7 linked regions of the Sus scrofa genome follow. The protein of the gene in region 6 interacts with the protein of the main gene of each other region in a biochemical or structural test. Links are inferred from orthologs where the notes say so. Each region holds a gene or a part of one and is shown on either strand. Other genes may lie near its edges.

Region 1 (3,500 bases), on a different chromosome or scaffold from region 6:
CCAAAATCCTCAAATTCCAGCCCAGAATAGAAGAGGTACGTTATCAACACCCAGAATCTTCTTGTAGAAACACGGGAATAAAAACTCCCATCAGACGACAGCAGCGTGTCAGAGGCAGACTCTCCTGGCAACGGGACGCCGTGCAGGCAGACCCTGAGTCCTCTCGCAAATGCCACTTCGCGTTCAGGGGCCTGCACTCAATCCCTGCTGGTTAACCCTGCTCTCCAGGGAGCAAGAAAAGCCCTGTTCCCATTTTCTCTCCACTACAATGGAAACAAATGTTCAAAAGGAACCTGATTTTAAAAAGGAGAGAAAGGTGAGTTCCCGCTGTGGCTCAGCAGGTTAAGAACCCAACTAGCATCCATGAGGACGTGGGTTTGATCCCTGGTCTCGCTCAGTGGGTTGAGGATCTGGCGTGGCTGTGGCTTTGGTGCAGGCCAGCAGCTGCAGCTCCCATTCGACCCCTAGAGTTTGGGAACCTCCATGTGCTGGAGGCGAGGCCATTAAAAAAATTTTTTAAATAAAAATAAAAAAAGGGAGAGGAGTGCGAATGAATAAACAAAAGCTGTAAGCTCCACCAAGGCTGTATCTGTCTTTCCACTCCCTGGCAGGGCTGTCTGGCACCACTACCACCAGGCACAAGCTGGGCTGGCTCTTCCTTCCGCGGGCGTCTACCAAGCCCGAGCCCGCGACGCGGGGCGAATGGAAGGGCCGCTCCCGGGCGGCGGGAGCCCTGGCTGAGGTTTACCTTGATGTGAAAGTCGTCGTCAACGAGGATGTTCTCGGGCTTGAGGTCCTTGTGGATGACGCCCTCGCCGTGCAGGTAGCGCATGCCTTCGATGGTCTCCATGACTATCCTCCCCTTCACAGACAGAGGGACGGGGGTCTAGAACGAGCGACGGGAGACCGTGAGGGGGGAGGCCACGCGGCCAGAGCCCCGCTCCTTCCAGGGGACGGAGTGCCCCTTCCGAAAGGTGTCCTCCCGAGGGCCGCGGCGTCCGGGCCGTGATCCATCAGGGTCCAGAGCCAGCTGCGCCGCCACAGGCCATGTGCAAAAGTGCCGGAGGATGAAGCCCCTTGAGGTCCAGACCGTGCTGTTCTTATCGTCACCACTTAGGATGCGACCTGACCCCCATGCACGGCGCCGGGGAGTCTGCGGGTGAGCACGCGCGTGCCAGGCGCTCCTCTGGGTTAAATACGACCATGGCGCGGACACGTGTGACACAGAAGGGTCCGAGGACACGCACACAAGGGGACGGGCCCACGCTGGTTAAAAGCACATAAAGGGTCACCCATGAGGTGACACGATGTGGTGGTGACAACGCTCAAGCGGGTGGCTGTCGCTGTGGGGCCTGGAACCAGAGCGTTCACGGCGTTGTAGACTCTCAGGTCACTCTCACCTGTGCACGTGGCACAGTCTTAACTATACGAATACCAGTGTGAACACAGACAACTCCAGCTACTAGTAAAAGCAGTCACACATTAGTCTTGCTTAACAGTGAAAACGCAAACTCTCACTGGGTGCGTGCGTGTGTGAGCGTGTGTACAGTCCTTAGTCTACAAACACACAGTTTTCTAAAAATTTGTGAATGTTGGTTGTTGGTAAAGAGGAAAAAACTGAAACGTCAGAAGTCAGATTCCCACGTCAGCCCCTCAAAACGTCGCTAAGTGGTGCTGCAGCGGGACAGCCTGGCGGCCACCGCGTGCACACGACGCTGGAGACCCCTGTTCTGAGGCACCTTTGGACCTCGGGGACACTCCGGGCGTGCAGGGGGACCCTGTGCCTTTCCCTCTCTGCTGCTCCCGCACCCTCCTGGGTTTCTGCCGGACGCCTTCCCTTTGCCGGAAGGCGCAGAGGGTCTCGGTCCCGGACGATCTGCCCCCATCAAAACGCCTGCCTGCCTCGCGCCTCTTCTCCAGTTTGGGGAGAAGAGCGGTCAGAGCAAACACAGCGTGTGGAAGCGACTTCGGCTGAGCCTCCCCCGCTACCCGCGGGAGCCGTCTGACCTCCCAGCCGCAGCTTCCGCGGCTGGGGGCGGGGGAGAAGGTGGGAGGGGCTCCGCGCCGCAAGGACGGCCACACCCCCCGCAGGCTCCCACGCTGGGCGCGCTCTGGGCGCGCTCGCGGCCCTTGGCTCCCGCCCTTCGCTCTCTGCTCGGGACACTCACTCCTCGATTCTCTGCCTCACACCACCGCCTCAGACTCCGGCTCAGGCCTCCTCTCTTCTGGAACCCTTGCCACCTACCCCGTCTGTCCCTGTGTCCCCAGAGCTCGCCTCTCTGAACACCCGCACCCAGGCCGGTGGCCTACGGTCCGGCCCCGTTACTCGTCTGGGCGCATCCGCTGGTGCTTCCTGAGCAGCCAGCACAGGGCCGTGCTCCTAACAGGTGCACGAACTTGAACAAGGGCTTTCAAGTTATTGGGCTTCGGTGATCAATGTCAGCCTTCCGCGCGCAGCGTTATAGTTCTAAGGTTTTATACGTTTAACTTGGACGTTTCTTCAGTGGCATCAGAGTGCAGTCCCTGATGTCCCACCCTGTCACACGGTCATTTCTGGTGTCATCATTTAACCAGTCCTTCAGTACTGGGGTGTGATCCCTTATGTACAAACCCCCCATCAGGCCACATGGATCTGAGAGCAGCTGACAAAAGCCACCGCGACGCCTAGGACGCCGCGACCCCGAGGGACCTTCCCAGTGAGGACGCCGCCTGTCTGCAGGGCCGAGGGGCGGGGGAGGGTCGAGGGCAGGGGGAGACCACCTTCCGGCCAGGGAAGCCGAGGAAGACCAGAGGGGCCGACCTCAAGAAAGGCAAACGCGCAGCAGTTCACCCGGGGCCCAGGGCAGCAGGCAGCGGGCAGCGGCGGTACCTGGGCCTTGAGCACCCGCATGAGGTCGCCCTTCGCCATGTACTCTATCACCAGCGAGTAGTCCCCTTCCTCCATGACGACGCCCAGCAGCCTCACCACACGGCTGTGTCGCAGCCTGTGCATCATCCTGCCCTCCTCCAGCAGGGACTCGTTGTACCTGGGGGGAGAGGAACACGGGCTATGTGTACCTGCGGGGGAGCTAAGTATACCTGGGGGAGGGGCTACGTGTACCTGGGGGGCAGGAGGGACACGGGCTAAGTGTACCTTGGGGGGGGGGGCTGAGTGTACCTGTGGGGGTGGGGGAACAGGGGCTAAATGTATCTGGGGAGGGGCTAAGTGTTCGGGGGAGGGGGGCTAAGGGGCTCCTCCCCACCCCAGAGACGCAGCCCACATCGCATCACTGCACTCCCGTCACTGCCTGTGCCTGGGGGACCTTCCCAGGCAGCCCACAAGCTTCAGCAAGCGGGGGTTTCTTGTTCCCAGCGCCCACCAGGGGGCTCAGGAAATGTTCAGTGGATGAGAGAATGAGCAGCAGCGATGAAACGCAGCCTGCAAAAAGGGCTGTGCTGGACAGCGAAATAAAAAATGCTGCCCCAGGTGGCACAGCGGGTTAAGGATCTGGCCTTGGCAC
Region 2 (4,139 bases), on a different chromosome or scaffold from region 6:
CCAAGACTTTGTGATGCCCTTTTATTTCCACTCATCTCCACAGCCCAAGACAATCCAGGCCTATCTCGGTCAGCTGTGCCTGGAGAAGGCCTGCCTGGCATTATTTGCTTTTATCTGTTCCCTTCGTAAGACTCAGACTGCAAGGAGCAGGCAGTTATTCAACAGATAATTGCTTATTCAATTGTTAAACACATCTATATTCTCTTTAAATAAATTGACATATAAAACACTTAAAGCATTAGCAGTGCTGGCGCTGTTACAGGCACTCTCCGTAAGCACTCAGTGATTATGGATACTTTCACTATTATCCACTAGGGTCTTTTTGTAGGCTGAGAGCTTCTCCTAAACATCCTTTTTTTTTAGTTCCAGTCAAAGAAAAGTGCCAGGTGCACAGTAGGCACTCAACGAAAATTTCTTTATCAATGTGAAAACTGAAATATACTTAAAAACTTTAAATCTTTCACAGCCCTGAATAAATTGTTGATATGGGACAGACAACAGAACCAAAGAGATCCAGGAGGATGCTTGAGGATGCTTGAGAGCCCAGTCATGATGAACCAAAGATCTAAGGTTCGATCAGTGCCTCCATCTATTAGCCACAGACATTGAACAAACTACTCAATCTCTCTAAGCCTCAGTCTCCTCATCTGTAAAATGGGAAAACGGTGATGCCTAAGTCACATGTGACTCTGAGGATGAACAAAACGATGCATGTAAAATGCTAAACATGGTGTCTAAACCTTCAATAAATATTCCCTGTTATCACCGCTCTCCGCAGAACTCAAGACTAAGGCAACAGCCAACTGTCAACCCTCACCAGTACCTTGAAATCACATTCATGTTTTAAGCACCTTTTGTGGAAACTGAAACAGAACACTCCTCTAGCAATTATTTCCACACACAGCTTCATAGGTGACTGGTACAGGTCACCTCCCAGCCATTGTCTGAATTTCTTTGCAGCTGCTTCCCCTGGAAAATGACACAACACGACTGGTACCTCACTTGTGTCCCAGTGAAGACAATCACCCTAAAAGGCTCCAAGAGAAGAAGCCCACAGGACCTCCACCTCTCACCTCCAGCATCTGGGGAAGGAGAGGGCTCTGCTGGGCACTGAAGTACTCCACTGACAACTGATACACGACTGCTAGGAAGCTGGAGCCTTGATCCTGTATTGAAGAAACTTTGGTTTCCTCAGAGGGATTAAGTAACCTGCCCTAAACCACACAGCTAATAGAAGACAGAAGTGAATTATGAACCTAGACAGTGGCTGGCTATCCTAGATGAAAGTCTGGCTGTGGACCCTGAAGGAGGAAACAGTCTGTAAGCAAACAAACCTTAGGGCCATGCCCTTAGCCAGCCCAGGAGTTCAAGGGAGAAAGCTTGGGAATGACTCACTAGACTCACCCACAAATAATTTTACTGCCCCACAAAAGCCAAAGGTGAATACAACGGCGAAGAGCTGCAGCCTGAGAGTCCTGCCTTCTTCCACTTCCTCAAAGAATCTTCCAGCGCCCTGCACCAGGCACAGTGATGAGGGGATGACAGGAGCTTACACACCCTGACAGCACTGCTCTGCGCCCCAACCCCCTCACTCCATCCTCGCAGCAGCCGCCACCCCGGGCCCACCACTATCCCCATTACACAGACGGGCACAGAGAGGGCCAAGGCCTCACAGCAGAGAAACAGAGTGGGGGGGAGGGGGGGACTGAACCCACGGCTGCCCCACAAGGGAGCTCTCACTGTTAGCCAGCCCAGGCCCTTCCCACCCTTCCAAATCCATCCCCCCTTCTCTGCCAAATCCCGAAGAGCACCGGTGACCCAAGCCCGGCGACTAGGAGGGAAGGGAGGGACAAGCTGAGCAAGCAAGTGATGTTGGGGGCGGGCAGAGCTCTCTCCCTCAAGTTCAGTGGAGCCGTCGGGGCCGCCCAGTCCCTGGGGATCGAATCCCACCGACGGCGCTCGGGGTGGCAGGAGCGAGGGCAGCCGGACGGCCAGGGAGAACGCGGGCGAAAGGAGGGCAGGGCGGAAGCGCGGCGGCCGAAGTTACCGTTCCCACGGCGTCCAGAACTGGTGCTGTCTCAGTCCCTCCGCCCCGAGGGTCTGCGGCCGCTCCAACGAAAGCGAAAGTAAAGCCGCAACGCGGCCAGGGGAGGAGTCGCCCCGGGCAGGACGCCGACCCGGCGGGCGGGGCTGCGGGCCCCGCCTCCGACTCGGGACCCCGCGCTTCTCAGAGTCGGCCGCGCGCGGGACCACCGCGCCGCCGCGCCCCGTCGGGGAGGGCGCGCTCTCACGGTCGCGCGCGTCGTCGCGGAGGGCGCCCTCGGCAGGCAAAGCTGGTCGCGCGCACCGGACGCGTCCTGGGCAAAGTTTGCAGAGATCCACAGGGGTCCCGGAGCTGCGCGCGCAATCTCCAGGAGAAAGTTCTGCAGCGTCCACTGCGCTCCAAGTGACCTGAAGGGCGCGCTCCGCAGACCCGGCGCACGCAGCGTCCCAGTCGGGCGGACTGAAGAGTGCGCCCTGCCGACTTCGCGGCGCTTGATAATGGGGCGCTGGTCAGAGTCCACCTTCCTGCCCTCCCGCTGCCTCCGGTCTACACCGCGACTTCGGCCTCCGCACCGGCCCTGGGACCTGTTCCAAAGGCCCAACGGCTCCTCCTCAGCCAAATCCTGACCCTGATCGTCTATGCGGGGGACTGGGTGCCCGCATCTTCCTGAGTTACCGTCTCCCTAGGGCCAGCCGAGGGAGCCGCCGTGGTCTCCTGCCGCTCAGAACTTGCTTCCATTCGCTGACGCGCCTTCCTCACGCGTGGGCGGCAGGAACTAACAGTTTTCTGCAGAGCACGTCCACACCTCTTAACAGAGCCTGCTGGCCGGGACGTAGCGCCAGAATCATTCATGGACTATTTATTGAGCGCCCTCATGTGTCAGCCACTGGGTACTTGGCCATGAGTTAGTCTAAAACGGGAGAGAGTCTAATATGGTACTTTCACTCGTGCCACCTAACCCCCAGCCTTGCATCCCCAGGTCCCCCAACACCCATGCATGCTCCCACTTTTGTCTTTATTCAACCTGGGACCTCCAGCTGAGGCCTCCAAGGCCTTGCTCTCCAAGATTCCTCGGGGGAGCAGCTTATGCATGCAGTTACACTGAAGTGTAAATAGCTAAGGAGACCTGACAGTTTTATTCATACCAGAGATGTTTGCTTTGAAAGAACTATCAACGCCTTCAGTGAAAGGAACGAACCTTCTTCGTCGTGCATCATTAGGCAAGAACGCATCTCGTCTTTTTGTTTGCTGTCCCCTGGGCCTGAGACTTCAATATCGTCCATAATATCTTACCAGGTAAGGACGCTTCCTTGATTTAAGGAAGACTGGCCGCAGGCAAGTGTAAGGGAGTGATTATAATTTATTACCTTCTGCCAGAATCCTGAATTCCTGAATATTTCAAACAGGCAGTTACACTATTTCCACTATGGATGTGCTATAGGTTGTTTGGGCCACCTACCTCCCTGCCAAATTCCTATGTTGAAACTAAATCTCCAAAATGATGGCATTAGGAGGTGGGGGCCTTTGGGAGGTGCTTAAATCAGGAAGGTGGAGCCCTGGTGAGTGGGATTAGTGCCTTGATAAAAGAGGCCAGGCTGAGCATCCTGGCCTTTTCTATCATGTGAGGACATAGAAATTGCAGTCGGCTACCCCAACGTGGGCTCTGACTAGAACCCAACCATGCTGGCACCCTGATCTTAGCCTTCTGGCCTCCAGAACTGTGAAGAATACGTTTCTGGTGTTTATAAGCTATTCAGTTTCTGTCTTTTGTTATAGCAGCCAGAACAGACTAAGACAGGCTGCGCTACTCTTTTCTTTAACAGCCATGTTTCTGAAATGTCAAGGCGAGCCAAGTCATGGTAGACACAGAGTTAATTTTCTTTTTGAAGGAATTCAGTGGTGAATCATTTGAGAAATGGAATAAAAAGCCTATTAGTAGGGCAAATAGGTTACCCTATGATTTATCGCATTTATGAATTCAAGTTTTGCAGGTTATTCGTGAAATAAGATGAAACACGGTGTTAGATATGGGAGCCACCTTCACAACTAATCCCTCTGCTGGTATTATAGATACAGAATCTGAGGCTCAGAGAGG
Region 3 (4,094 bases), on a different chromosome or scaffold from region 6:
AACGGCTTTTAATTAAAGAATCCCCCCCAAAAAATTTTTTTGATTGAGCCTATGGTAGGCTGAAGTTCCCAGACCAGGGATCAAACCCACACCACAGCAGGGATGCCAGATCCTTAACCCACTGAGCCACCAGGGAACTCCTCCTAATAATATTTTTATTTATTTTGGAGTTCCCATTGTGGCACAGCGGAAACGAATCTGACTAGTATCCATGAGGATGCAGGTTCAATCCCTGGCCTGGGACATGGGTCAGGGATCTGGTGTTGCCGTGGCTGTGGTGTTGCCATGGCTGTGATGTAGACTGGCAGCTGTAGTTCCAATTTGACCCCTAGCCTGAGAACTTCCATTGGAGTTCCCGTCGTAGCTCTGTGGTTAACGAATCCAACTAGGAACCATGAGGTTGTGGGTTCGATCCCTGGCCTTGCTCAGTGGGTTAAGGATCCGGCATTGCTGTGAGCTGAGGGGTAGGTCGCAGACACGGCTTGGATCTGGCGTGGCTGTGGTGTAGGCTGGGGGTCACAGTTCTGATTCGACCCCTAGCCTGGGAACCTCCATATGCTGTGGGAGTGGCCCTAGAAAAGGCAAGAAGGAAAAAAAAAAAAAAAAAAACCAACCAAACAACAACAGAAATGACTGACAGTGCTCAGCCACTATGTTTTATGCTCAATATGCCCTTCACAGAGCCTAGCAGTGCCAAAGAGTAACAGAAACAGAATAAGAACAATACTGGCAGCTGACACTCATAAGCACTCAGTAAGGGCCAGGCACCTGTGAGGCACTTAATAACCAGCATTTTACTCAAGCCTCACAATTTCCTCCTGAGGCACCTCTCTTGAAGGATGAGAGATTTGCTCAGGGTCTCCCTCTAAGTGGTGAGGTGGGGATTTCAAGTAAAGATCCAGACGCCACAGCAGGCATTCAACAGGTATTTGACTACGTAAACAAGCCAACAGAACAGGAGAGTCCATCTGTGAGATCAAGCAAACTGAATCTATCTGCTGGGCTTATGTTTCAGTTTTACAAATTTTCAGATAAGAATATTACATCCTAGAATTAGATAAAACATTATTAGCAATCTGACTTTCTTAAAAAATAGTATTATTTCAAGTTCTAAACATTGCTGATGCAGCATTTTTAGTTTTTAAAGGAAATCCAGACAATTTAAAATGCCAAGACAAAGGGACATGTTTAATTCAGTAGCAAAAGGATCAAAATTTCATTTAAACAAATTTACTAATTTCACCATTCCCCCAGTTAACACCTCCTCCATTAAAGCTTTCTTTCAAAGGGTTAAAAAAAAAAGTTCCATACAGGTTCCTAGGTAGGGGAAACTTACAATTTCTACTGATAAAGCTAGAACTACCAAGCTTCACATCTGTAAGCCTGACAAATCATACAGAGAGCATCTTTAAAAAAAAAAAAAAATCAGTTCTCTAACTGTCCTTCATGGATCGGAATTAGTTATAGGAACAATTTCAAACGTTTTATTGGCAATGATCTAAATAAAACAAAAAACGCACACATTCACCAAGAGGCATAAAAGCAGCACCAGTCCTAACGACGACTTTGGGGTATAGTGAAGCCAGAACTCTTCCTTCTACTCGACAAGACTCGAAATATGTACCAGTTGCATTCGGAGTTTGCTGAAAACTGGCAGTAATTCTTGGAGCTTCCTTGTTAGAAGGCTCCTCTACTTGAGCAAGGCTGAGACACACAATTTTGCTCGGATTACACTGAGATTCTTGTTTCCAGAGGAGAAAAAAAAAAAAACTGCATAAGACAAGTCTTGTCTTCCTCTAGGGCCTGTAACCACCACAGGCTGTAATGAAAAGAAATGCCTTGAGTCACAGGACAGCTCGGCCCAGGAGCCAGTTCTGCTACATGCCATACCCAACGCAGGAGCGAACGCAGAGCCAGCTTTTTCTTTTCTTTTTTTTCTTTTTGACTACACCACGTTCAGAGAAAAGAACAGTCTTAATCGCACCCAGCTCCTCGCAGCTAGAAATCTGCAAAGTTTCTCCACCTTAATAGCAAACAGCATCACTTAAGAAAATCAGAAAAGTGGCAAAGTACAGGCGGAAGGCACCCCCCAGCAGATCCGCCTAGGGTCCCCAAAGCAGCCCGTGTACACAGTCCTCCAACACGACCGACCTGGGACCGCAGGGACCCACCGAGGTTCTCCCTGCGGCTCGAGAGCTTCATGGAAACACCAAGAAAGGCAACTCCCTAAACCCACCCAATCTACGGGCCACGGAGGGAGGGTGGCGGCGAGGCGCTGGGCGGGTTCGGCCGGGCGGTCAGCCGGCCTGCGAGAAAGCGGGAGGGTGGAGTTCAGTTTTCCCTCCAGCCGCCGCTCGCCGATTCCCTCCCTCCCCCACCCAAAAAAAGCCGGAACCAGGCGCGCGCGCCGCCGGGTCCCGAGAGGGGGCGGCCCGCGACCCCCGCCCCGGAGAGGCCCGGCCAGGCCCCGCGCGAGCCCGCGGCGCCCGCCCGCCCCCGGCCCCCCGGCCCCCCGGCCCCCGGCCCCCGGCCCCGGCCAGGCCCGCGCACTCACCCGTCTCCCACCACCACACACTTGATGGCCTGCATCTGGGCCGCTCGCTGGGCCGCGGCGGCGGCGGCGGCCGGGCACTGAGGCGAGGAGCTCGGAGCTCGGGGCGCGGCGGGCGGGCGGGCGCGCGGCTGCGGGCGGCAGGGCGCGGGGTGCCGGGGCCGCGGTCCACGCCGCCTCGCCCTCCGCCGACGGGAAGCGGGAGCCCAGCAGCAGCCACCACCCAAAGCTGGGGAAAACTGCAGAGAAACAGGAAATGGCCGCTCCACTCACATCCGGCCTCCCCTCCCCCGCCCGGCGCCGCCGCTCCCAGACTCCGGGGCGGGGCCGATCCCACCCGCGCGGCTCCCGAGGTTCCTGTCGGCTTCGGGAACGCTCGGGAGCGCTCGGCTCCGAACGCGGGGCGCGCCGGCCGCCATCTTGGTGCGCCTGGAACGCGGTCCGGGCCCCGCCCTCCCCGCCTGGGTTCCGCCGCGGGAGGGGTTCCGCCGCGGGAGGGGTCTCGGCTTCCCCCACATCGACTCGCGCCCGAGACCGTCCGAGGGCATGAGGGGCATGGGAGCCCCCCTTTTTAGTGACACTTCCAACTTAGGGGATGTTGGCAAGGTCCTTCTAGAAAATTCGGAATTGAAAACTGTAACGAAGAGCGTCGCCGGCACCGTATTCGGAGATAACCAATGTTCATTCAGCCAAAAATGTGTTGAACTTTGTTCCTCTTAGGCATATTCTGATTATTTGTAATTCACTGTTTGTAATGTGTTGACTGTTTGCTAGGTTTTAATGCTTTGCACCAAAGTTCTGGACATAATGCTCTGTTAGCGGACCATTAAAGTGCAAATATTTTGGCGTATTTCAATCTAGTTGCATCTTTTTGTTTTGTTTTGTTTTTTGTCATTTTGCTATTTCTTGGGCCACTCCCGCGGCATATGGAGGTTCTCAGGCTAGGGGTCGAATCGGAGCTGTAGCCGCCGGCCTACGCCAGAGCCACAGCAACGCGGGATCCGAGCCGAGTCTGCAACCTACACCACAGCTCAGGGCAACGCCGGATCGTTAACCCACTGAGCAAGGGCAGGGACCGAACCCGCAACCTCATGGTTCCTAGTCGGATTCGTTAACCACTGCGCCACGACGGGAACTCCTAGTTGCATCTTTATATACGTAATGAACATGACTTAGGCGAAATTGGGAAATGCTACTGAGTCCCTGTTAAAACATTTGTCATCACGGCTTCCTCTTGGTTCCATTAGGCACATATACCTTACTTTATATATAACCAGTGTCTCTATTTTCAGACACAAGGCTGGGATGAACGCGTTTGTCCAAGTATCTTTTTTTTTTTTTTTTTTTGTCTTTTGTCTTTTTTAGGGCCGCTTCCGGGAAATATGGAGGTTCCCAGGCTAGGGGTCTAATCGAAGCTACAGCTGCCGGCCTACACCACAGCCACACGACACCAGATCTGAGCCGCGTTTGCGACCTACACCACAGCTCATGGCAACGTCAGGTCCTTAACCCACTGAGCGAGGCCAGAGATCAAACCCACAAC
Region 4 (4,111 bases), on a different chromosome or scaffold from region 6:
TTTTATAGAGCACTTTCAACATATTAGGTATTGTGGCATGTTATATGTATATCAGTTAATTTTTACAATAACATATCTAGAGATTTTGACATGAGGAAACTGAGGCTTAGAGAGTTTAATTGACTACACAACCACACAGTGGGTACGAATCAGAGCTGGGATCCCATTCCAGGAGAGGATCTGTCTACAAAGCCCTCCCTCCAGCCAAGCTTCGTGGGCTCCCACCCAGTTCATGGTAGAGATCAGAGACTGGAACTCCAGGCCACTCTGACTCTTGAGAAGGGGAGCTAGTGACAAAAAAGCCAAAGCCAGAGGAGTAAAAACCCCAACTACCCTAGTGCTCTGGTAGGCGGTAAGTATTTTAAAAAGCAAAAGGTAGCCAGCAATGAAATAGGTCAAAAACGTCATGGAGGAAAAGGAGCGAACTCGATTTGGGAAGTAGAAGCTCAAGTGCGACTCTGGTGAGAAGCGAGTTCTGCTGGTGCTGAAAGCAGAAGCCAAGTTTTATTGAGCACACACGTTCATAAGAATTGAGTGAGTGAGGAGCGCGAGGAGACTATGGGGACAGAGCAGGTACTACTGGTCTGTCAACGGAAAGGAAGGAGGATGAAACTCAGAATTGGGAGTTCCAAGAAGAAGCAAACATGGTGGGATTAGCATCAGATAGAAGGGGCGACTTTTGAAATAGGAATTAAGGAGGTAAGGTGTCTTAACTGGTATAAGTCTGTGCATATGTGAGAAATTGACGCAATTCAAGTATTTGAGAAGAGGGTAAAATCTGTAAACGTAAAAAAAAGCAAGATGAGCTACAGCACGTCAGAAATTCTTGTACATGTTTTTCAAGCTAATTTGTTATCCTCATTTTACAGAATGGGGACTCCACTTCAGTACCTTGCTCAAAATCCAACTGCAGAGACCTACTCAACCCGGGGTAGTTCTGAGATCAGCCTGCGGGTCTAGGTCATCTGTGAGCAACGCACCCCCGCCCCGGGCGGCGGCCAGGAAGAGCCGGAACTACACTTCCCAAAGTGCCCGGCGGGATGGGGCGGGGCGGGGCGGGGCGGACACAGCCTCCTTCCCAGAAGCAAAAGCGGAAACAAAAGAGTCTCACCGGCGTCCCCGCCCGCATACTGGCGCTGGGGCGCACTCGGAACGGGCAGCGGCTCCCGGAGCGAGCGAGAGAGCAGCAAGCCGGGACCCTCCCGGCTGAGCCAGCCGAATAGCCAGCGAACCGAGTCCGCAACGATCCCACGCCTCCGAGCCCCGAAGCCGTCCCCCACCGGCCAGTGTCCCCGCTGTCCTCCCTGACCCATGGCGCTGAAGCGGATTCAGAAAGTGAGTGCCGGGGCCCGGTCTGGGGCGGGGGCTTCAGCCCCCTGCCCACGCTGAGCCCGGCGGTGGTCTGAGAGTTGTGCCTGGAGGGAACGTGAAAGAAGGATGGGCCGGGGCGGGAACCAGGGGCCAGGGATGCTGGCGGGGCCAGCGGGCACCCGACAGGTGAGGTGGGAGCAGCGGCAGGTCCCGGGCGCTGGAGGTGCTGGGAGGCAGGGGGCCCGCCGTGCGCTCTCTCAGGACCTGCGCCCGGAGCCCCGGCCGGAGATCGTTTCGGTCTCCAGACCTTCCCGAAATCTGTGCTTCTCGGTCGCGCCTGAATTTTGTCCTATACCGGGCGAGTTTTGGCCCTTGTCATGCTGCTTTCTTCAAGCTGTTTCTTAAGCCGGTTCTCTTTTATGTTCTTGTCTCCCTGGACTCCCGGGGAGGGCAAGGAAGGTGTGGTGGGCCTGCAGCCTTCCTCCGCGGAGCCCTTGGATTTGTTCTTTCTCTCCTCTGAGGTTGGCTCTTGCTCAGATGCCCGAATGGGCTGGAAAAGCCTGTTTGGGGCCGAGAAGCCTCCTGCCCCTTCTATTTTGGTCCCTCTGCTGCTGCCACTTCAGGTCACATAGCTGTAGTGAAAACATAGTTGCTGATACACAGCAAGATGACCTCCTGGCTGTGATTCATGGCAAGTCAAGCCAAGCAGGTTTTTTTTACCCCTCATGATAAACTTAGGTGTAAAGTTTGAGACACAACAGAAACTGCCACAAATTTAATTGTTTGATGTTTTGACACATGGGTATAGAATGAGGAAGAAATGTGTACGTTCATTAAAGAAATGTTTGTCTATCCCAAACGCAGTGTAAGGTATTGTCTTCTCTTGCATAGTATCTATTGCTACTGTCTCTACATGAACATCTTACAAAATTGGGTTGGGGCATTTTCTTTCTGTTCACTTTTACTTCTTGTTAGGTGATTTGGTCTGTTCACTGACACAAGTTTTAGGTTTTATTGGTATGTTTCATGTGGAGAACATTGAGAATTTGTTATTTTAATGGGAGTTAGGTTCAGCAAGTTAAGCCAACAATGGACAGTATGTTTTGTAAAGGATTTCAGAAGAAATCCTACCGAAAAAATTTATCAACCTTTTCAGGCATGAATCAAAAGAACAGTGATAGAGATGTTTTCTTAGTCACCATTGGTGGCATCTTCTGGTACAGAGGACAGCAACTTTCTAGAACCAGCCAATTTTGGGGGGGGAGAGTCAAATACTAAATCTGTGGAATATTGTTAATTTTTGTACTTTTTAAAGTTCCTCTCGCTATAAAGCCCATAGCTAATGATCAGCATTTATTGATTAGTATGTTTTCTGGTTTGAAGATAATGCAGTTACACATTTTTTTTTAATAGATAATTCTAATCTGAAGCCTCACTCAGCATCTTTGCCATGCCTTGTGTACTTATTAATGATGATGTAATATTGGCTCTCATTTGAAGTAAACCACACACATTTTTCCAAGTAAGTCTTAAAAATTACATTTTCTTCTTCTCTAGTTGTGAGAATTTTTTACAAAGCTTTACACATATAATAGCTTTTAAGTAGTGTAGAATTTGTCCACAGTAGACAAAGGAAATTGTCATTATTTGTAAATATACTGGGCAACTATCAATCACCATGCTGAGCCAGTATATTTGATTTGTATTTATAATATGGCATATACCCAAATCATATTTTCAGCTCTTAGTTTGTAACAGAGTTGTCTGGTTAAGAAAATATTCTTACGTAGAATTGATGTCAGATCTGTAACAAATTGATAGTTTGGGGAGGAGATTTGGGGTCACATAACATCCCATCTCTATGTGTCAGTCTTTGGCTTTCCTTCTCTGTTGTCAGAAAAGTTGACTTGCATAAATCTCTCTTCCATGTTCAAACAATTCCCTCAAACTTTAGAAGGTATTTGTTTTGATTCCCCACTTTTCCTCTTGCCTTACCTACCCCCTTGATTAAAAAAGAATTCCAGAGAATGTGTGCTGTTTGCCATATGAACACTTACAAAGCCCTATTTGATAGCATCATTATACAGATTCTCTTTGAATTTTGCATGCTTCAACAAAAGAAAATGCATAGTAATGTTTGGCCTTTCTTTTTAAGTGTATTAAAGGAATACTGTCAGTTGCCTTCCAGGTCCTCTGGGTTGTTATTTTCCTGTACCTGCAGTGGCAGCCTATAGAACTGCAGAACCTCAAAGAACTCTGCAGTAGCAGAGTGGAGTGGAGAGAAGGGGAACAGCTTCTAGGGTAGTGTATCAGAATCACCTCTGAGAGATGTATTGCAGGCTGTCCCCACTGCTGTCCATGACTGCTGTCAGTTGTAGAATCCCTCAGATGGGCTGGGGTGGAAAGAAGGCTGAGAACCACTGACATTCTAGTCTAGTCTCCTTGTTAGTCAGAGGAGTCTGAGGTTTGGAGTGGAGTGCTTTGTCCAAGTTAATCTCTTAAGAAGTGATTTGGCATATTTGAGAATGTTAAAAAGTTCATGATTTCACATTTCTTCACTTCATATGAAAAGATTAAGGATGGTTGAATTAAAATTGTATGAATATACAAAGCATGTGGAGATGAGTGCTTAAAATATATTTTTATGCTAGAGTACGGTAAATGATTTAATACTCTAATTTAGACATCCAGTGCCAGTTTTTACATTTCAGCTCATAAATTTACACACTCATGCCCTATTTTTAGATACAGTGGAAGATGTTATCATAGTCACCTAAATCACTAAAGGGAAGAAATTTGA
Region 5 (3,500 bases), on a different chromosome or scaffold from region 6:
CATACAAACAAAGACTGCTTGTCAAAATATGATTTTGAAAGAAAACGGAAAACCTGCCATTAATATTGGCTGAAAAATTTACATACTAGATAAAAAGTCACTGTCTTGAGTAGCTGACAGGGACTTTGAGGTTCCTGGAGAATTACTAGGTTTATGAAGCTGCGAAGATCCACATGATTCCTAAAGTAAATAATAGATAAATGATTTAGGTTAATGAAAAATCATTTAAAAAATTATTCTTGCTTTTGGCTTATTACAAACAAAGAATCAAAACTAACACAAATTATACCTTACAAAATTAAACACATATATAAAATAACAAAAATGAACTTGATTTTTTAAATCAGGTCAAATTGGGGGATGGGGAAATAATTAAATATATTAAAATATGAGTTTTTCAGTATTTTGTACATAATTCCAGAAGAGCTGAGATTATGTACAAAATATTAATACTATGTCCAGCTGATGAAAAATTTGAGATCTGCAACTCTGATTACCTAGTAATTTAGAGCAAATGCCTATTCTCAATACCTCAGGTTCCTTCAACATGGAAGAATGAGAACCCATAGAAAAAGTAATGTAAAACTTGGCCCTAATCCTAGCTCTGTCATAGGATTACTGCTAAGTGTTGGCAAGACATTTAAACAATATGGCTCTCAGGTTCTTTTCTTGTAATATTTACCCCAAAATGTGCATGTATGGGCTCAAAGATCCAATGAGAGAGTGTATATAAAGGTGATTCAAATACTATACTGAGTTTTAAGGTTCATTTTAAAGGTATCATTACTTTACTGAATCTGTAAAGAGAACATATATATTCTTTTTTTTTTTTTTGCCATTTCTTGGGCCACTCTCACGGCATGTGGAGATTCCCAGGCTAGGGGTCTAATCAGAGCCGTAGCCGTCGGCCTACGCCACAGCCACAGCAATGCAGGATCTGAGCCGCGTCTGCAACCTTCACCACAGCTCACAGCAACGCTGGATTCTTAACCCACTGAGCAAGGCTAGGGATCGAACCCGCAACCTCATGGTTCCTAGTTGGATTCGTTAACCACTGAGCCACGACGGGAACTCCAACATATATATTCTTAAAAGATATGATTACTGTGAAATAATTCTGAATGAGTGCTACTAAAGAAATCTTTCTTTTTGGATAGCCACACAAATGGTATTTTCCTTTTATTAATCATTGTAAGAGGTTAAGAACTAGTATTATAGCTTTTTTACATTTGGATAAGAAAGTATAAATATAGTGGCAGAACTGTGTTGATGATTTGCCTATGAACTACACTGGAACACTGTTCATTACATAAAACAATGCCTATGAAGGAAACAAGGACTGTGATTTGATGAAATGAACCAAGAACTGAGAATTAGGGGAGCTGGCTTTCAAATTGGAGATTGCCATGGGCTACCTAACAAATCCTAAAATCTTCCTGGACTTTAGCTTCCCATTTATAAAAGAGCAAGATAGACTGATTTTTCATATTTTTCTCACATTTTGAGTTAATCAACATATTTTTTTTTACCTCTTGTGAACCATGATTTACAGATGTGTTCGGATATAACTCTGTTTTCTTCTTGTCACATAAGTGAACAGTACTGGAAGCACTTTGCAACTGGAATAAATAATACATATATTACTTGAATTAGAAGTGATTAGTAAATTATATGAGTGAAATGCAGTCTATTTAACATATTTTATATGTTTATACAAAAAAATCAAAGGAAAGAAAATCTCCATCAGTTAAGAATATAGTATATAATTTATAGCAGAGATAATGTAGAATAGGGGAAATAACTTTAAAGACACAGGCTCTGAATTCTATCTCATATTAACTGATTACCTTGAGAAAATTCATCTTTTAAAACAATAATATCTACATGCAGGATCAATCTAGAGATTAAGTGAGATAATGAATATAAAAGTATCTGGTTCAAATTATGTGCTTAATAAATTTCAATTTGTGTGTCTATCTATCCATAGCTATAAGCATTCACTATTGTCTATTATTATTTTCATTTTGTAGATAAGAAATTGAGGGCTGGAATAAGTGAAGGAGGAAGAGTACCCTAAAGGAATGATAGGGGTCAATCAGATCTGGCTTAGAATCCCAGGATATCTGTTTGATTCTGGGCATAAGATTTAATCTTAGTTTACTTATTTGTAAACTGGAGATAATACCTGTTCTGCAGTATTATTGTAAAGAAGATGAGAAGTAACATTACTTTGAAACATTCAATAAATAGTAGCTTTTTAAAGCAGAATTATTTATTTAAATGCTATAATTTTGGTACTAAAATTGTTTAGTACCAAACAATTTAGTACCATCAATGTAAAATTGGTTAGTGATTTACTCTCTTAAGCTAGGCTTGGATTAGTAGTCATCACTACTGAGTGATTTAAAAACAAACCCGTCAGTCTTCTTTTCTTCCCCAAACCAATATAATGGCAACTGCTCTAGAGAACTTTAGACATTGGTGGGATTCACACCCAGTCCTTCATCATCCATGCTTAATGACTGTCTGCTCCATTACAGGTCTACGAAGTTTTAGGAGGAAAGACTACTATTCGTCTGTGTATATAATCTATCTAGCATAGTACTTTTCATACAGAGTCCAATTAACATTTGTTACATATATTTTCATATGAAACTTCAAAACTCATCTTTGGATCCACCTCTGTTATATAAGTTTTTTCTGTGCTTTTAAATTTACTGAAATATTTTTGATCATGCAATATTGTTTTTTTTTTTTTTCTTTTTGGTTGTGCCCGTGGCACACAGAAGTTCCTGGGCTAGGGCTCAAACCCATGCCCCAGCAGCAACCCAAGCCGTGGCAGTGACAACACCGCATCCTTAACCTACTGAACCACAAGGGAATTCCTGATTAAGTAATGTTGTTAATTACTAACATAATTTTTCTTAAACAGTCCGTTAATGACAATTAAATTATCTATGAACTAAAAGAAACGAAATGGAATATTAAGGAAAGACAGTTTTGATTCAGTTTTATTACTCAAGATGTAAGAGATGCTATTTATGAAAACCTGAATTAGAACAGTCAGTTCAAAGAACTAAAAAAATGTAGGAAACTCAAAGAAAACAAGGCATTCTAAATGGTGATCTTTGTTTTCAGAAATTTCTTTATGAAAAATCTTATTATATTAACTTAATTTAAATTAAATCTTATTAAGCTAAATCTTATTCTACTCTTAGACTGGCCATTCTACTCTCAGCTATGCAGGGTGTTATGTGACTACTTCCTTGAATATCAGTTATTTTATATACAAAGTGGAGATGATACTCTTTCCCTAACAGATTTATAGAGTTGACACAAGGATTAAAAAAAAAAAAGAAAATATAACTACAATAACTCTAAGTGAAAACAATACAGTAACTTAAAAACAATGACCAAAGAAAGTAATAATATTATTAAGTGTTATTCAAGTATTTGAAAATATATAATTTAAATTATTTATTTAAAAAGCAAAAATTTCT
Region 6 (3,500 bases):
TCCAGTCACCACAAAGACAACACCAGATACTTAACCTGCTGCACCACAGCAGGAACTCCTCTGCTGGCTTTTTAACCCTAACTTTGGCATACTAGTATCCAGAGCTAGTCTATAAGCTCCTTGAAAGTAAGCACCACGAGTGTTTGGCACAGGTGCTCATTCTCAATTCTTATTTGTTGAAGGACCTGTTCCAAAAGACCTGTTTGGGACTCTGAGGCTTAACACAATCTGGATGAATACCAAAATCAGCTCTCTACTATCTTTGGGTTTGGTGCTTCTCATCGAACCCTGGGATTTCATCCTGGGTTCTATTTTTTTGTGTAAGTATCACTAAGCAAGGATTACAGTCAAATACCATTTTAAGAATATGATTTGAAGGAACTTAAGACATGAACCCAACTTTAAAATCTTGCTTTTTCAAAATAGTTTATATCTGCTATATTTGAGGAAGAAATGCAATATCACTAAAGAAAGAAGTTATGCTAAAATCTTCTGATGAACATAAATCAAGGATCTTCTTGGAAACTAAACATTCAGAAAAAAATTATAGTCAGTGGTTCTCAACTAGGGTAATACACTGCCCACGGTGGAAAAGGGGATGTGAAATTTGGAAACAACTGGTGGCTGCCAACAGCAGTCAGTGGCTAGATGGGGATGGCACTCTCCTGCATCATCTGAGACAGTCCTATGAGCCCCACTGAGAAAGAATGCAGGTGACCACCATTCCCAAGTACCTGAGGCTGTTTCTTCAGTTTGTCTTTCATTCTCTTCTTCTCTTTTTTCATCTTCAGCATTAAGAAGTGCTGACACAATATCATTAACTGTTTTATAATTCTCTCCAGTTGTTAGGATTTTACTCTGAATTGTCCGCTTTATCAGGCTTCTACTGAAGCCCATTTCCAAGGCAGCTTTAACCACAGGTGTATTCATCATGACTACATCATTTGAAGAATTTTCTCCAGGCCCAAAATGAACAACTATTTTAAAAGACATATTTGTGTAAATTCCATGAATATAGAAATACACAGAACTATAATGACTATGACACAATCTTCACTGCTGGTTATATCCTGGTAAAGTAAATTAGGCTATATGTAACAATCTACAACTCCAACAAAAGTTTGAACCTGATAAGGATCAAATGAGAGTGTAGTAACAGGCTATACTTTTGAGATACTACTTTCCATGCTACGTCCTACACCTAGTTAATTAGAAACTCTAGAGATGGAGCATTGGAATCTTCTAAAAATTCCCCAAACAATTCTAATGTACAGCTATTTTTGAAAACTGAGATGCTACACAAATTTAGAGGTGAGAAATTATCTCAATTCAGCTAGAAAAGTGGGGAACTGACAAAAGACTTCACGGAAAAGGTGGCATTAGAGTCTGGATTTGAAGGATGGACAGGCTCTAGAGAGGTGGATAAATGAGGCAGAGAGAATAAAGCAAACAAAGATGGGAAGAACAGTAAAATGGGAGACTAGTTCACACAAAATACATCTAAAAATGTGGTAAAAATGTGATTAACGAAGTAGCATGATTTCAGATATTGACAGATATTCTGAAGAAAATAAAGCAATGCTAAGGGTGTTAAGGTTATTAAAACAAACTAGGAAATAGGACTACAATTTACATAGAGTGATTAGGGAAGCATTTTCTAATGACAGGGTCAATGTTAGCTAACACAGCACTTCTGTGAAAATTACGAAAAGACATCACTCTTCAAGACACTTTACTGCCATCTGCTGGAAAAGTGTTTTATAATAAATATAAACATAACATGTATTTGCTCCTTTGATCAAACATACGTGAAAAGCCTGTCTGAAGAGAACCCCAGGACAAAACATTTGAATGATAAGGAGTGAGCTATGGGAATACTGAAAGACATCTTCCAGGCAAAGAGAACACAAGTGTGAACGCTTCAAGTCAGGAAAAAGGCTTGAGCTTGACATAGCTTGACATAGTCAAGAAAAAGCTTGACATAGGCAAGAAATCGAAATATGGTAGAAAGTCAGAGAAGAAGGTGATTCAGCCTTTCAAGGAGTTTACATTTTGTACAGCCTTTCGAGGAGTTTATATTTTGCTAGAATGTTCTACGAGGGTTTTAAGCAGAAGACTGATGAAATCTGATCTGTTTTTTCAAAAAAGAATGACTGTGGCAACTCTGTGATAAATTTTAGTGAGGTAAAACGGAATCAGGGAGACCTATTAGGATTTTATGACAGGTGATGGCAGCTCAGATCATGTAGACAGTGGTGGAGATAGAAAGAAGTGGTAAGATCTGGGACATATTATGAAAGCTGAAATGAAAGGACTTCTAATAGGTTAAATATACATAGTCAAAGGAGGAATCGGAGATGATGCCTAACTTAGGCCAACTTTTGACCTTAGCAAGTGGATGCCTTTAACTGAGTTGGGAAGACCAGAGAAAAAGCAAATATAAGGGATGAAGGACAGGAAGAAAATGTCTGCTTTGGTCACATTAACCTGAGACACCCGTTATAACCAAGTAGAGATTTAAACAGGTAGTTGGACCTGCCAGTCTGGAGCTCAGGAAATGCAGAAATCTGGGCTGAACACTGAGATATACTCCATTATTTAGAGATTTGAAAAAGGAGTAACCACCAAGGAAAATTATTCATGATCAACCAGGGCAATAGGAGAACCAAGAATGTGGTGTCTGGAAAGCCAAGTGAAGAAGATACCTTAAGAGGGATGAGAGTAATGACAGCAAGACTGTCAGTTATGCTGTTTCCCACTTGTATCCCACTCAACAACAATTTGGAATCTATCCACAGATACAAGGGCCTTTGTGCGAGGCTTTGGGATTCAGATGTAGGATTATGAAGCCACAGTATATTGCAAGACCAATGAAAGCCATTTTGAGAAGACTGGCCTGTACCAAGGAGATGAAATCCCCGACTGTGGTCCCAGCCACAGACCAGAAACAGCTCCATATCCATCAGGACTGAAAGAAGAAGGTCTTTACCTGCCAAAACCAGTCAATAAAGACTGGAAGAGGTGTCTGCACAGACACCAAGGCAAAACTACATGTATCACACAAATCAGGTACATATGACACCATCAAAGGAAACAAATCCAAAAGTGACCCCAAAGAAATGAAATCTATGATTTGTCTGACAATGAACTCAATCAAATCACCTTAAAGAAACGAAAAAAAATTCAAGAGAACAAAATAAACTAAATGAAATGAAGATAACAAAGCATGAACAAAACCAGAAATTTAATTAAGAAAGAGAAAACATAAAAAAGAATCAAACATAAAACCTGGAGCTGAAGAATATACGGACAGAACTGAAAAATTCAATAGAGAGCTTCAACAACAGACTTAATGATACAGAAGAAAGAAATCAGATAACTCAGAGATCTGAAATCAGCCAGTTACAGGAACAACAAAAAAAAAGATAATGAAAAAGAGGAAAGAAAACCTACATGAATTATGAGACACCACCAAGCAAATAAACATTCATATGATGGGA
Region 7 (4,199 bases), on a different chromosome or scaffold from region 6:
CGGTGAATGCTCACCTGTGCAGAAGCTGAGTCTGTAGCTTGTTTCATGGGCTGCCCCAAACAAATGCCAGTGCCGAGGGTCAGTGGAGGCCAGAGCTCAGGTGGCCAGTGGCTACCGAAAGGTACAATGTTCAAGGCAAAACCTGGGCCCATGTTTCTCAACTTCAGCTCCAAGACAGCACCAGCCCCCACCCCTGCCCACGGCGAAAAATGTCTACTAGCCCTTAAGCACTGAGGGGCAGAGGCTCCTTACCTGCCTCTGCCTAGTACCTCATAGGCACTCACCAACAAGTGCTGAATGAAGGGAATGCTCAGGCCCACTGAGGCTGCCCCCGGCACCATAAGGAGTGGAGCACAGGGCATGTCTTTGGCCCAGTCTCTGGCTGTCCCTCTGAACCTAGAGCTCAGACTGCCGAGGGCAGGCCCCACAGCCAAGTACTATCAATTAGCTAAATGGAAGCTACCTGTCCAGGCCCCAAGCTGGTACTTGCAGTAACAGGTTGCTGAGGTGCAGGAGACCAGCCAAGCGACCCACCCCGGTACAATTTCCATCCCCCTCACTCATTAGGAGGAAGGGGTCCTGTGCTTTCATCAACCTCTATTAGCATCTCCAGGAAGCGAGGCATCCTAGTGGTTAACCACTCAGGAAATCTGGACTGGTCTCACAACTCACTAGCTGAGTAACTAGGGAAGGTTCTAACCTCTCTAGGCCTCAGCTTCCCGACCTGGAAAAGGGGAAAGTTGTTGAGAGGGTTAAATGAGTTAATTGGGTAAAGTGCTTGGCACAGGGCCTAACACACAAAACAGTCTCAAAATAATGGTGGCTGCTATTGTTATTATTAGCATCTTAGTGATTCCGGAAGGAAGGCCACACTGGGCAAGGGGCCAGGGGGACTGGGGGAACCTTGGTGGGATGCCTCAGGGACCAGCTGCCACCCAGTCCCCCAACAGTAATTGGGCAGATACTACTTCCTTGCCCTGGGCTTTGCCTCTCCCCTCCCACTTGCTCCAAGCCCTGTGCTGAGACCCCATACTGCTTGGCTGGCCCCTGCCTGCCCATCCATGCCCTACCCTTACCCACAGGCTGCGCCAGTCAAACTGGTCTCCACACCCTGTCCTGCGGCCCACAGGTCCAAGCTCCAGGCCTCCACCCCCTTCTCCCCCTGTAACTCAGCGGTCTCTTCTGAGCCCCCCCCCAATCTGAATTGGTCTTAAGCCTCTTGCTGCTCAGGGAGCACTTTATCAAGGCATCTCCCTGGGGCATTTACTCTTTTCTAGCACTGGGGGCCTCCTCTCCAGCTCCCAGAGGCCCAGCCCACCCAGTACTTCCACTGGGGCCAGGGGTCTGCCTGCCTGATTAATGAGCTTCCATGGCAACCAGAGTCTGGGAGGGTGGAGGGTGGCAGATGGAAGGACAGGCAGAGGGAGGGGAATCAGCAGCTGGCCCAGCCACCCCGCCCCTGCAGAGAAGGCCTCCCAGCCAGGCGGCCTGTCCCCAGAGGCCCGGAGGGCTAGGCCTGCACCTGGCAGTCCAGCATCCAGGCAGGAAGGAGGGTCTCCTCAATGGCCCTTCAACTTTCTGGTCCCAGAACTTTCCCCTGACTTCCCCAAGCAGCCGTGCCCACCATCCAGCCACAAGTTCTGGTCTGAAGCCAGCAGGCCTCAGTTCAAATCCCACTTGCAGCCTTGTGACCAGGGGGCAAGCCACTTCCCCTCTCTGGGCACAGTTCAGATGGGCACAGTGACAACACAGAGCTAGCTCACAGCATGGATGTGAGTTTTAGCTGCCTTGAAGTCTGCCAGAGGCCTGGCAGGCAGTCAGCAACAGCTGAATACACGTGGGCCATTATTATCATTGAGTCTGACCCTAGACAGGCTCCAGCGAAGAAGCTGAGGCCCAGAGCACAGAGGAGCAAACAAGGACTGGCCCGAGGTCACCCTGCACCCCGGGGCGGAGCCCGAAGGCCCAACCCAAGCTCGGCACCGCCCAGCCTGGGCGCCTCAACCCACCCTCCCCCGCCCTCGCCGCCTCCAGGCCAAACATAGCGCCCCGCCCGGGTCTACGCCGGGGTCCAGGCAGCGCACTTGGCCCAGTGTCCCTGGTGTCCGTACCGGCGGGCGGCCGAGCGCGGGGCGCGGCGCGCTGGGGGTGGGCCGGGGCGCCTGCGGCGTGGCGAAGAGCAGCAGGTCGGGGTCGCGGGGGCCGGTGGCGGGCGCGGCGGGGCCGGCGGGGGCCGCTGGGGCGCTGGCGTCCTGCGCGGTGGAGATGATGACGATCTGCGAGGAGTCGAGCAGCCGCAGCGCGCCGGCCCCGAGCAGGGCCTCCAGCGCCGGCGCGCATGGGCCGCCCGCGGGGGCCACGGCCATGGCGCTCACGGCCCGCGCGGCCCGGGTGGCAGTCGGCGGCGGCGGCGCGGGCCCATGGCAGCAGGCCGAGGCGAGGGCTCGATCCCGCTCCGGATCCCGCTCCGCCCCCGGCCGCCGCTGCCTGCAAAGTCCCGGCCACTTTTACGCGCCAAATCCTTTTTGCCGCGAAAGAGCCACGAGCCGCCGAGCGCTGCGCCTATTGGCTGTCCTGGCTGTGACGGAGGCGACGGCGACGGCGCCCATTGGTTGCAGCGCGCCGGACCGGCGGCGGAGGGCGGGACGGGGCGGCGGCGCGAGGAAGCACCGCCAATCGCAGGATGGGGCGCGCGCAGGCTTTGTCGGGGCGGTGCCAGGCGCGTTCGCACTCCCCGCCCCTAGAGGGGACGGCCCTGTGTGGGGAGTGGTGGCCCCACCCCCTCTTCGACGCACCCCATCCTGTTGATACCCTTTAGTGGAGGCTTTTACAACAGAACGTGTGTTGTGCACAGATCGCTATCCACAGACCCCACGTGACCTCCCAGAACCCCCACCTGTGGGTGCTCCAACACCCTCAGGCCATAACTCTAGAAACTGCAAACGCAGTTTCTCTTTTCCAGGATCTCAAGCCCACCTACAAAACCCCAGCCACATCTTTCCTCAACTTGCCCCACCAATGCCATTTACTTTCAAATCCTGCGCCCACCTTATCCCTTCCACCCAGAGCACAAGCAGAAGGAGTTGCCAGAAAATGGAGAGGAATGTCTGACCCAGTACAGCTTGGGGCTTTTCTCCAAAGCCTCCTGTAGCTGGAATCGCTTCAACAACCAAAGCACAGCTTCTGCTTGAACTGATTCCTTCGTTCATTCAACAAACCTTTTTTTTTTTTTTTTTTTTTTTTTTTTGCTTTTTAGGGTACCCCCTGGAAGGTTCCCAGGCTGGGGGTCAAATCAGAGCTGTAGCTGCCAGCCAAGGCCACAGCCACAGCAACATCAGATCTGAGACCTGTCTGCCACCTACATCACTGCTCACCACAACGCTGGATCCTTAACCCACTGAGCAAGGCCAGGGATCGAACCCACAACCTCATGGTTCCTAGTCGGATTCATTTCCGCTGAGCCACTTTGGGAACCCCAACAAATGTTTTGAGAGTCTGCTCTGTGCCCCCTTCTTGACTCCTGGCCCTAAGGATCTAACAGTTTAGTGAAAGGGGCTGGAGGGAAACTGAGGTAACAAATGTTTACATATGACACAGATTTCAACTATTAAGGTAATTCCATGTTAGATTTTACAAAGGGAGGAGGTGAGTGTGCTGAGCAACCAGAGGCCACAGGACCTCCCCATCAGCCACTTCTCATTGCTCAGTTCAGCTGATTTGAGTTATATTGTCCTCTCCTCTGTGCCAGGCTTTGTGCCAGCGCTGAGGGCAGATATGTGAAAGGCTTGATAATTTCTATGAACTTGCCTGCCATCTGGTGGGGATGGGCCCATCAAAAAAAAAGTAGCTGGAGTTTCCTCTGTGGCACAATGGGATCGGTGTCATCTCTGTAGTGCCAGGATGTAGATTCTATTCCCAGCCTGGCACAGTGGATTAAAGGATCGGACTTACCACAGCTGTGGTGTAGGTTGCAACTGTGGCTCAGATCTGATTCCTGGCCTGGAACTCCATATGCCTCAGGGTGGCCAAAAGTGAAACAAACAATAAAAGGTAGCTAAGATGCAATCAAGAATGAGATCCCTTACGGATGTGATAAATTCATTGAGTAATAAAAAAATAAGATTTAGTACTAAAAATAATAATAATAATAATAAAGAATGAGATCCCTAGGCCACAGTATAAATATCACTTCTTCCAGG

What was found.
Region 1: of the proteins of baculoviral IAP repeat-containing protein 2 (region 6) and RIPK1, one has a biochemical effect on the other in vitro, tested with the Homo sapiens proteins (6 studies listed by BioGRID, with this or other methods). The link is inferred for Sus scrofa from reciprocal best matches to the Homo sapiens genes BIRC2 and RIPK1.
Region 2: the proteins of baculoviral IAP repeat-containing protein 2 (region 6) and CASP7 form a complex in vitro, tested with the Homo sapiens proteins (2 studies listed by BioGRID, with this or other methods). The link is inferred for Sus scrofa from reciprocal best matches to the Homo sapiens genes BIRC2 and CASP7.
Region 3: the proteins of baculoviral IAP repeat-containing protein 2 (region 6) and RAC1 form a complex in vitro, tested with the Homo sapiens proteins (2 studies listed by BioGRID and IntAct, with this or other methods). The link is inferred for Sus scrofa from reciprocal best matches to the Homo sapiens genes BIRC2 and RAC1.
Region 4: the proteins of baculoviral IAP repeat-containing protein 2 (region 6) and UBE2D1 form a complex in vitro, tested with the Homo sapiens proteins (11 studies listed by BioGRID). The link is inferred for Sus scrofa from reciprocal best matches to the Homo sapiens genes BIRC2 and UBE2D1.
Region 5: the proteins of baculoviral IAP repeat-containing protein 2 (region 6) and RIPK2 form a complex in vitro, tested with the Homo sapiens proteins (4 studies listed by BioGRID, with this or other methods). The link is inferred for Sus scrofa from reciprocal best matches to the Homo sapiens genes BIRC2 and RIPK2.
Region 7: the proteins of baculoviral IAP repeat-containing protein 2 (region 6) and E2F1 form a complex in vitro, tested with the Homo sapiens proteins (2 studies listed by BioGRID, with this or other methods). The link is inferred for Sus scrofa from reciprocal best matches to the Homo sapiens genes BIRC2 and E2F1.

What each region holds. Positions count from the first base shown.
Region 1 is NC_010449.5:1,858,143-1,861,642, reverse strand, and holds part of RIPK1 (receptor-interacting serine/threonine-protein kinase 1), read right to left. Parts: intron 3,027-3,500; coding exon 2,870-3,026; intron 887-2,869; coding exon 749-886; intron 1-748. UniProt on the Homo sapiens protein: Serine-threonine kinase which is a key regulator of TNF-mediated apoptosis, necroptosis and inflammatory pathways.
Region 2 is NC_010456.5:124,016,531-124,020,669, reverse strand, and holds the start of CASP7 (caspase-7), read right to left. Parts: upstream 2,801-4,139; 5' UTR 2,783-2,800; coding exon of another isoform or gene 2,777-2,782; exon of another isoform or gene 1,405-2,776; intron 1-1,404. UniProt on the Homo sapiens protein: Thiol protease involved in different programmed cell death processes, such as apoptosis, pyroptosis or granzyme-mediated programmed cell death, by proteolytically cleaving target proteins.
Region 3 is NC_010445.4:4,800,711-4,804,804, forward strand, and holds the start of RAC1 (ras-related C3 botulinum toxin substrate 3), read right to left. Parts: upstream 2,801-4,094; 5' UTR 2,590-2,800; coding exon 2,555-2,589; intron 1-2,554. UniProt on the Homo sapiens protein: Plasma membrane-associated small GTPase which cycles between active GTP-bound and inactive GDP-bound states.
Region 4 is NC_010456.5:92,327,414-92,331,524, reverse strand, and holds the start of UBE2D1 (UB2D1), read left to right. Parts: upstream 1-1,311; coding exon 1,312-1,335; intron 1,336-4,111.
Region 5 is NC_010446.5:47,030,134-47,033,633, forward strand, and holds part of RIPK2 (receptor-interacting serine/threonine-protein kinase 2), read right to left. Parts: intron 1,620-3,500; coding exon 1,530-1,619; intron 181-1,529; coding exon 87-180; intron 1-86.
Region 6 is NC_010451.4:33,055,107-33,058,606, reverse strand, and holds part of baculoviral IAP repeat-containing protein 2, read right to left. Parts: intron 978-3,500; coding exon 735-977; intron 1-734. UniProt on the Homo sapiens protein: Multi-functional protein which regulates not only caspases and apoptosis, but also modulates inflammatory signaling and immunity, mitogenic kinase signaling, and cell proliferation, as well as cell invasion and metastasis.
Region 7 is NC_010459.5:37,187,319-37,191,517, forward strand, and holds the start of E2F1 (transcription factor E2F1), read right to left. Parts: upstream 2,801-4,199; coding exon 2,796-2,800; intron 2,741-2,795; coding exon 2,629-2,740; intron 2,505-2,628; coding exon 2,112-2,504; intron 1-2,111. UniProt on the Homo sapiens protein: Transcription activator that binds DNA cooperatively with DP proteins through the E2 recognition site, 5'-TTTC[CG]CGC-3' found in the promoter region of a number of genes whose products are involved in cell cycle regulation or in DNA replication.